2 linked regions of the Mus musculus genome follow. The protein of the gene in region 2 binds, or shares a complex with, the protein of the main gene of each other region. Links are inferred from orthologs where the notes say so. Each region holds a gene or a part of one and is shown on either strand. Other genes may lie near its edges.

What was found. The genes of interacting proteins can lie anywhere in the genome.
Region 1: Polr2e (region 2) and Gtf2f2 share a complex: the UniProt entries of both Homo sapiens proteins name them as parts of the TBP-based Pol II pre-initiation complex. The link is inferred for Mus musculus from reciprocal best matches to the Homo sapiens genes POLR2E and GTF2F2.

What each region holds. Positions count from the first base shown.
Region 1 is NC_000080.6:75,895,914-75,900,290, forward strand, and holds the end of Gtf2f2 (general transcription factor IIF subunit 2), read right to left. Parts: intron 1,741-4,377; coding exon 1,621-1,740; 3' UTR 1,024-1,620; downstream 1-1,023. UniProt on the Homo sapiens protein: TFIIF is a general transcription initiation factor that binds to RNA polymerase II and helps to recruit it to the initiation complex in collaboration with TFIIB.
Region 2 is NC_000076.6:80,036,215-80,041,673, reverse strand, and holds the start of Polr2e (DNA-directed RNA polymerases I, II, and III subunit RPABC1), read left to right. Parts: upstream 1-2,014; 5' UTR 2,015-2,034; coding exon 2,035-2,091; intron 2,092-3,060; coding exon 3,061-3,235; intron 3,236-4,289; coding exon 4,290-4,486; intron 4,487-4,700; coding exon 4,701-4,759; intron 4,760-4,831; coding exon 4,832-4,910; intron 4,911-5,075; coding exon 5,076-5,141; 3' UTR 5,142-5,147; intron 5,148-5,372; 3' UTR 5,373-5,459. UniProt on the Homo sapiens protein: DNA-dependent RNA polymerase catalyzes the transcription of DNA into RNA using the four ribonucleoside triphosphates as substrates.

The DNA.
Region 1 (4,377 bases), on a different chromosome or scaffold from region 2:
CAAGAAGTGGAGGGGAGCGAGGTTGGAGTGGATATGATCAATGAATACATGCATGAAATTGTCAAACAATAAATAAAAGATTTAAAAAAGGAGGCGACAAGGGGCAGACCACATTTAGCTCCTACCCCAGAATGAGGCCAGTAAGGCACTAAGGGTGGGTGGTGACTAGGACTGCCTTCCTTAGGCAGACCTGTAGCTTATAGTGGGAGGACGAAGACAACATTTTCCTTACAAGAGCAAATCACATGGCAAGATCCTTCTCTTAATGAAAAACTATTTCCTTGCTTTTAGTACTCTGCGTTTTCTTACATTTCTGGCAGCTGAACCGCCTGGCTGCAGGCATCCTCTCTCTAAGCATCCTCTCTGTGTGCTTACTTTGTCGGAGCATCTCTGCTTTACAGGAGCAACTTTGGACTGCGTTAACACATGACACTGTCCTGAAGAAACTCATCATGTACATGGACTGTTTCCATCCACAGTCAACTGAGGACGAGAAGAGCGTCCTGGTGTGCCGGGAGACAGCGCCAGCCCTTGCTATCTCAGCGCACCACCTGACAGCCCCGATTTAGTTGGCAATAGAATCTGATAGCAAAGGGTCAGCCCCTGCCCGTACAGTGGGAAGTAAAATTCTCAGGCTAAAGCCAGTCTCCAAGGAGCTTATATCTGGTTAGAGAGATACAATTTGAAGTTGGAATGTTACTTAATTTTCAATTGTTATTTTAAGGGATTTTTTTAAAAAAATTATTTTCATTTCTGTGTCTGTGTGAATGTATGGACATATAAGCACGGAGACCTGTGGAGACCTAAGAGGGCATGGATCCCTTGAGGCTGGAATTACAAACAGCTGAGAAAGAAACTGACTTGGATGCTGGAAACCAAACTCCTATCCTTTGCAAGAGCAGTGTGTGCCCCAGACCACTAAGCCAGCTCTCCAAGCGGACAGTAACTGTCTAGAGTTTAGACGGTTTCTCTTTCCAGTATCACAAGGGTAAAATCAGCCAGTGATAACAGTTGCCATCTAGTACAAAGGGAACAGATCTCTTTATTAACTTAAGTGTGGAGGTGAAACATTACCTCTGCAGACAGGGACAAGTTCCCTCTTCAGTTGCAGAAGGAATTTGGACTCTGTGTTCCTGTAATCATTTCTTAGCTGATGCCCCTGCCTCCCACCTTTCTCCTTTCTTACCTTAGTTCCTCAGAGACAAAATTTTCATTTAGGAGATATCCCATTTACGCTTGCAAAGTTAACCAATAAAAACAAAAGTAGTTTTAATTCCCAGAGCTCCACCCATACCATAATTTTTTTCTTCTATGGAGGAGGTCTTGCTGTGTATTCCAGGCTGGTCTCAAACTCACACCTGCCTGCCTCAGTCTCCTGAGTTTTGGACACATTCATGTGCCAGCATGCCCGCTGAATGGTGTAACATGAGTTTAGTCTATAAATAACATCTTTCTCTTCAGAAAACACTTAAGAAACTTTTATGGAATCTCAGCTTTAACAGTTTACTGAGAGGAGTGGTAGACCCAGGTGTCTTTGTCCTGTCAAGGCAGGCAGGCAGGCAACTTGTGGTGTGGGCTGGCCAGGCCTGCCTGTGACTGACTCTTTAGCACACGAGTCTCTCAGTCGCTCTTCTCTTCTGTTTGGTAATGCCTGTACTCCGGCTTCAGCTCCCATGTGTTCTTGTGAATTCCTTTTACATTCTGAATGCCAATTTCTTTCAAGATTTCTTTCAGGTATCCCTAAAAACCAAACCAAAACAAAAAAAGCACCACAGATGAGGTTATCAAGGCAGGAAGTAACACTTAAAATGAAATACACTAAATACTCACAAGTAACAAAAACTAGCATCCTTAAAACCCAAATGGGGTTCCTATAAAAGGGTTCAACAAACTTTTTCTGATTCTACAATGTTTTGACGCACCAGAGGAGGGCGTCAGATCTCACTATGGATGATTGTGAGCTACCATGTGGGTGCTGGGATTTGAACTCAGAACCTTCGGAAAAGCAGTTAGTGCTCTTACCCACTGAGCCATTTCTCTAGTCCTACAACGTATTCCTCACTAAACACAGGACCATGTGCATCAAAGGCCTGGAAGTCCTAAACAGAGAGGAATCTAGAGGAAAATATACTGTAATGGCTGCTCCATGTTTACTGAATTCAATGGAGGGCAATCTGCTCTTGACTTTAGTGACTTAACAATCAGTCCACAGACTACAATCAACAGTTTTATGAGCATCCATATAAATGACACACCCTGTAGGGATAGGAAATAATAGTCAAGCAAGCAAGCATATGATGAGTACCTACAACTCCTACTTCTGTAAGATATGCTTTTCTTTAAAGACAGGATCTCATTATGCTAGACAGGCCTCAACTGCCAGAGTTCCATGAGCCTCTGTTTTCTGAGTGCAGGGAATAAAATCGTGAGCCACACCCCATCTGACCTAAGATGGATCTTCTGAGTTTCAGACTACCCCTTCCCTGTGGAATAAGGAAAGGGGTAGCCTGAAACTTTGTGTTGCCCGAGCCTGCCATAGCAGAGAGAAGACTAAGAACGAGAGGGCGCAGGCTTCCTGTGCTCGGCTTACATTATTTTATGTCCCCAGAACCTGCTTCCCAAATGATTACTGGAGTCGTGGAAATTAAGACTGTGTTAAGTGGACTACAAAACCCTGCCTTTGTTTGCCAAAGCCCACTGAAGCACCCATTGACCAATAATACAAATGACAGTAACCTCTAGAAAAGAAAGCTAATTATTCACAAGTGATGTGTCCTGCCAACCAACCAACCAACTAACAAACACCCCACCCAATCCAACTTCTGAGTATCTGCTTCAAAGAACTAGGCACAATGTCAAGATGGCTCTTCTCACTGCAGGAGGATATATAATTCACCAAAACGAGAGGCACTAATGGTTGAAGAACTCCTGTCTAGATAATATTTGCACCGAATGCACTACTACCCAAACCACATTATGTGTGAATCTTTAACAAACCCCTGTGTGTGCACATATGGACAGGATTTTACTCTGTAGCCCTGGCTGGCCAGGAACTCTCTTATGAAACCAGCTAGCTTCAAACTCAGACATTTACCTGCCTCTGCTTTCAGAGTACTGGGATTAAAGGCATTTGCCACTATGACCCCTCCCTTTATAAATAGGGTCTGACAATACAGCCTAGGCTAGCCTGCAACATTCTATGTAGACCAGGCTTGCCCTAAACTAGGGGAGATCTCCCTGGCTCTGCCTCCAAGTGCCACCAGACCCAAACTGTCCTTGTTTTTTTGAGACATGGTGTCATTAGGCGGTCCAGACTGAGCTCAAATTTGTGTTCTTCCTTTCTCTGTCCAAGTCCCTAGCCAAGATTCTGAAGATCACGCTATCTGCTCCGAGGCTGTTACAGCTCCCACACTCCAGGGATTTTGAGCTCTTGATATCCTTTGTTCTCAGAACCTCAAGGGGCCATGTTACCAAATAGTCAAATCCCTACCTGCTGATCTGAAACAATGGAGCACAATCCATTAACCCACAGATAGGCTGCCATCTAGAAGTTTGTTTCTTTTTGAGACAAGGTCTCACTATGTAACTCTGGCTGTTCTGAAACTCTCTCTGTAGACCAGGCTGGCCTGGAACTGAGAGATCAGCCTGCCTCTGCCTCCACCTCCTGAGTACTGGAATTAAAGGCATGCACCACTACTACCAGGCTTGTCTTTTAGAAATGTAACAGCAGAGACTAGAGCTCGGTGAGGTCACTGGAAAGCTTAGCATCTGTCTATTGGACAGCCTTCCACAAACAGGCCCCAGCAGGTGGCAGCAACGAGCTCAATGAGGCCTGGGTTCCCCAGGCGGTTTGCCTGCCTCCCACACCTTCTATAGTTGGCTTTGCTAAAGGCATGAGTGTGAATGAGTAAGCATTTAGGCTTGGGCAAGCAGGTAATGTGCACGTCTGCCATCTGCTATTTCAAATTACACTTGAAAAATGGGGCACTGTTCATAAACTACTTTCTAATTAAACTGGATTCATAAATGGAAAATGATGGGTTAGGCACAAATGATTTTCAGTTTAGGTGCCAAGAATGACATCTTTGTAAAATTCCAAAGAATGGTTCATTGTGAGGCTGCTAAGATCCTGTTGCACAAACAATCACACAGTTGTGGATGGATAGCAGTGGCCCAAACACAAACAGCAATCACCAGGAGCATTTCAGCAACCCAGAAAAAAGCAGCTCTTCTAACTCCGAGTTCTGTGCTTATCTGTAATCTTAGCCAAGAAAACAGAAAAGCCAGAAGAGGGGTCAACATGACATGGTAAGAAAGTCTTCACTGGGGTGGAGAGAGGGTTCAGTGATGAGAGGCTAAGCTCACAACCAAAAAAGT
Region 2 (5,459 bases):
GAACAGTCGGGTGCTCTTACCCACTGAGCCATCTCACCAGTCCCCGGCCTATGTTTTTGTCTTGGCAGCTGGTGCTGTTTCAGCTGAGTTTTACAGTGTATGGCTCTTCCATCAGCCGTGCTAAGGTCTCGGGGCCTTCACACCGGGATCTAAGCATCTGCTCAGTTATTTGGTTGCTGCCCTCTGTGGATCCTAGGCCAGTGTGGTTGCTGTGGGGTCCCTGGTAGAGAGGCTTCTGCAGTCAGCTGGAGATGGGCTGGGGGACTGGCTGAGAGGGTCCCAGGAAAGGGGCCAGGGAGACCCCAGTCTCACCAGTCACAACAAGGGGCAGGATCCCAGGCACAGAGGAGGTGGGAGGAGGGGCTCCTACATGCAAGGGCTGGAGGACACCCTCAGTGACACTTATCCACATGGCCACTGGGAAGCTCCTAAGGTCCCAAGTACACATACTTAGGCTCTGACTGTTCACTACCACCAATAATGAGAGGGTCATGTCCCCCCTGAAAGTGGAAGTCAGGGGCTCCCCTGCTGGGGGTGGGGGGTGTTCAGCACAGCGCTCACAGAAATCTACCCACTTGGCCTCCAGAATCAAATGCATCGGCCACCACTCCCAGGCCCAGGCAATGCTCTCTTCTCCAAGAAACGTCTTTGCCCATGTCCCCTTCCTTTGCACACTCATGGCTTCTTTGGCCAACTGTAGCAGCCTAAGCCCCTTGGTCTACAGGGTAGATGGTGGGCTCAGTGTACTTGGCAAAAACTTGTCTTTCCCAGTTGGGATCAGCCTAAGTTCTCAGGCAGGAACTGGTGATGATCTGTAGATGAGCTGTCAGACGCACATCAGGACAGAATGGAGGCATCTGGACTTCCAAGGACAGACCTTGCCAGTCTTGGTGGCACACGCCTTTAATCCCAACACTGAGAGGCAGAGGCAGGCCATTCTCTGCGCTGTTGAGACCTGGTCTCTATACCAAATTTCAAGTCAGCACACTCCCCCAAAGAAAAGGAGAGGGCTGGTGAGATGGCTCAGTGGGTAAGAGCACCCGACTGCTTTTCTGAAGGTCCGAAGTTCAAATCCCAGCAACCACATGGTGGCTCATAACCACCCATAATGAGATCTGACTCCCTCTTCTGGAGTGTCTGAAGACAGCTACAGTGTACTTTCATGTAATAAATAAATAAATAAATAAATAAACAAATAAGAAAGAAAGAAAAGGAGAAAGGGGCGTTCCTGTGAACTCCCATTGTATAGTTGGAAGGGTTTAGCCCTGGAATCCCTTTCCCTAGGATTCATTTTCTCACCACCTTCTCAAACTTTTCACGAGTTAGCCCACCATATACACACTTGTTTGTTCATTGTGTGTATGCCCGCACATCGATTGTTTTCATTTTAGATTTTTAGTCGTTTAACTATGTTTATCTGTGTGTCTGCATGTGGGTATAGACCTGTAAGTGTGGCCCTTGGAGGCCAGAGGCATCAGACTCTCTGGAGCTGGAGTTACAAATGGCTGGGGGCCACCTCATGTGGGTGCTTGCATCCGATTTCTCATGTAAAGTGCAGATACACTAATAAAAACTTGTATAAAAAGGGAAATTGAGGCACATGAACCTGGCTGTTCATCACTGGTCTCTTGCTTTCTTTCGAGACAGGGTTTTCTCTGTAGACCTGGCTATAGAGCAGGCTGGCCTCGAACTCACAGATCTGCTTGCCGAGGACGGGGATTAAAGGCGTGGACTACAGCCCGGGAGACGCCTAAGGGAGGGAAATAAAACTGTTATCAGGTCAAGTATCGCGAGATCTTCCCGACGCGCGACACCGCCCCGGTGAAGGCTGGGGCTGCCCAACGCGCAGCCTGTCGTGGAAAGTAGGTTTATTCCGGCGTTCACCTTAGACAGCACGAACCTGGGCGGGGGCCTTCCCAGCCCTTGGCGCAGGCGCACTGCCGGGGGGCGGGGGGCATTTTGTGCGTCCGGCGCAGGCTCCGTGCTGGCAGCTCCACGAGCGCGCGTGCACAGTTGTTTGGGAAGCGCGACAGCATGGACGACGAGGAGGAGACCTACCGGCTGTGGAAGATCCGCAAGACGATCATGCAGGTGATCAAGCGTGAGGAGCTTTATGCGAGCGAGCGTTCAGTTGCGGACTAACTGCGGGTTGTCCGCCGAGGCCCGCCTCCCGCAGGGGCCAATCCTCCTGGATTGGAATGCATCCCCGTTTAAAGTGTGGAGCCCACCCACGCTGGCTTCAACTCTTAGAAATCCTACTGCTTCCACCTCCTAACTCTGCCTCAGGGGAAAAGGCCTGGGTGGGCTCCGTTTCGGGAGAGGGGGCTGCTGCGTGGTCACACTTGGTTTTATGCGAGCTAGGTAGCCGCCCACACGAAAGCTATCAACCATCTGTAACCCCAGTTCCAGGGGATCTGACGCCCTGTCCTGATCTCTGGGGACTCCAGACACACATAGGATGAAAAAACAGTATTTTTAAAAACAGAACAAGCCGGTATGATGGTACACGCCTTTAATCCCAGCACTCTGGAGGCAGAAGCAAGCGAATCTCTTTAAATTAGAAGTCAGCCTCATCTACATAGTGATTTCCAGAATAGACAAAGTCACGCAGAGAAACCCTGTCTTGAAAAAGAAAAAGGGAATAAAAGAAAAAATTCTTGGTTGTTTTGAGTTGAACACATGAGACACCATTATTAGATAAAGAGGTATGCATAGTTTTGACTTATGCTGTGTTGGTGGAGCCCAGGGCCACCTCATGCCTGTTCCTCAGCCCTGATCCTGGATGATGCTCTAGTCTCCCTCATCAGGAACACTCAAGACTGGGGACAGGAAGGTGCCTGTATTCAGAAGGTTGCCTACAGTTGCCAGGGGATTAATCCCAGCCTGCTCCACTGAGGTTGGGGGGAGGAGAGGCTTGGCCGGGCCGCTGTGGTCTGAGCCTATACAGAGTTTGGGTACTGCTGGATCAGTTCAGTGTTAGTCCCCAGCCTCGGCCATTCAGGGTCAGGTCTGCGAGCTAAGTGCTCAGGCTGACTGCCTCTTTGCCTCTTGTCTCTGCAGCTGTGTCATGACCGTGGCTACCTGGTGACCCAGGATGAACTGGACCAGACACTTGAGGAATTCAAGGCGCAGTTTGGGGACAAGCCCAGCGAAGGACGGCCAAGGCGCACAGACCTCACGGTGCTGGTGGCCCACAACGATGACCCCACAGACCAGATGTTTGTGTTCTTCCCAGGTGAGGCCCTTGGGCTGGCAGGAGTGGTCTCCTCCAGGCCCTGGCTCAGGTGCCAGTGAATGCATGTCCCACTCTGGCCTAACGCTGCCTGTAAGATTGTGGCAGCTGCCTGCTTTTGTCCCTGTCTCCCCTGGGAAGCCTCCCTTTTGCTGGTGTCGTTTTCATCCCATAAGCCCCAGAACCAGCTCTCAGCCCTCCACCCCCTGGCTCCTATATGCTGTATTCTATAGCTTCTGCCTGGGAGTCCCAGGGCCAGCTATGCCACCCCCACACCCCCTGTGTGCTGTATTCTACAGCTTCTGCCAGCAGCGCAGGTGTCTTGTGGGAGTGAAGGCTATTGGGGAGCCCAGGACCTCCCTGTGCAGCTACATTCAGTCTCCCCAGACAGCTTGCCTCTTTTAATACCTAATGCTTTGTGGCCCCGGGACCTGGTTTTTAGTGTGAGAATTGGGGGGTGCGGGGATGGGCATGGTAGCATATGCCTGTAAGCCCAGTGTTTGAGAGGCAGAGGCAGGCAGTCGAGGCCAGCCTGGTCTATACAATGACTTCCGGGACAACTATGGAGGGCATTGGTTCTCAGCCTTCCTGATGCTGGGACCCCTTAGTACACTTCACATTGTGACCTCCAACCATAAAATCTTCATTGCTAATTCATAACTAATTTTGCTACTATTATGAGTCATAATGTAAATATACCTGTGTTTATCCAGCAATTTGCAAACTAGGTGGCCTGGGTCTGCTCCTGCGCTCTGCCTGAGGAGACAAGGCTAGCCTCATGTAGACACAGGGTCCATCTCTTGGTCAGTCAGTTTCTCCTTGAGGCTGTCTAAGCTGACAGTACCATATCCCCCAAACCCCAGAGCTGCTGAGAGCCCCCACCCCCGTTCCAGGGGGGCCGCAGTTCCTGCATACCCTGCAGCTTCTGCAGTGATAGCTGAGCCCCCTGGCAGCCCCATCATGGCTGCCTTGATGTTCTAGTCTTCCCTTGCAAGCAGAGAAACTAAGACCACAGGCTCCAGTAGTGAGTGTGAGGGTGGTGCTTGTGTGCCCGCAGAGGAGCCCAAGGTGGGCATCAAGACCATCAAGGTATACTGCCAGCGCATGCAGGAGGAAAACATCACACGGGCGCTGATTGTGGTGCAGCAGGGCATGACGCCCTCCGCCAAGCAGTCCCTGGTGGACATGGCCCCGAAGTATGTGCTGGAACAGTTTCTACAGCAGGAGCTGCTCATCAATATCACAGAGCACGAGGTGTGTGTGGTGGGGTGGGGCGTAGTGCTGCCTGCATCCAGGACACGGGCCGGGGCGGGGTGCTTCCCCGGTTTTGGCCCTGAGCATCCAACTTGGTGATATTAATAGCCTGGTTTTGTCCTCTGTCCCAGCCCCATGACAATACCCATTAGTCTGTTGGTCTGTTGAAGTTCCTGATGGCCGCGTGCCTGTGGGTGGGTCTCTGTCTCCACAGCTAGTCCCTGAGCACGTGGTCATGACAAAGGAGGAGGTGACTGAACTGCTGGCTCGATAGTATCCTTTACTCTGTCCCCACACCCCCCTCACCCCAGCGCTGCCCGCCAGCTGCTTCCTTGACTGTTCTAGCAAGCTTCGTGAGAGCCAGCTACCCAGAATCCAGGCCGGGGACCCAGTGGCACGGTACTTTGGGATCAAGCGAGGGCAGGTGAGAAGCCACAGTGGTTGTTCCCCTCCTAGGCCCTTTGGGAATTATTGGATCTCCCTGGTTCCTCCATCTCCTCCCTGTCTCTGAGGCCAAGACCACCATTGCCATAGGCCAGTGGTCCCAAGGCCCTGCCACCACCACTCCCTCGCCTGCCTGCTCCCACAGGTCGTGAAGATCATCCGCCCCAGTGAGACGGCTGGCCGCTACATCACCTACCGCCTGGTGCAGTAGCCGCAGGTGAGCCCAGCACTGCCCAGATGAGCCTGCTACTTGTCCTTGACCCGGTAGAGGGTCAGAGCTGCACCCACAAAAATAAAATGTAACGGGAGGGTAGGCTTGAATCCTAATGCCCAGGGGCAAAGGCAGGCAGATGTCTGTGAGTTCCAGACCAGCCAGGGCTACATAGTAAGCCTCAGAAAGCAAGCAAACAAACAAACCCAAAACAACCCATACTCTTGCCAGGGGAAACCTAGTGCTCAGAGACTGAAGCAGGAGGATTGCTGCACATCTGTGGACTCCTTCTCGGTGTGAGTGTCTCCAGGAAAACAA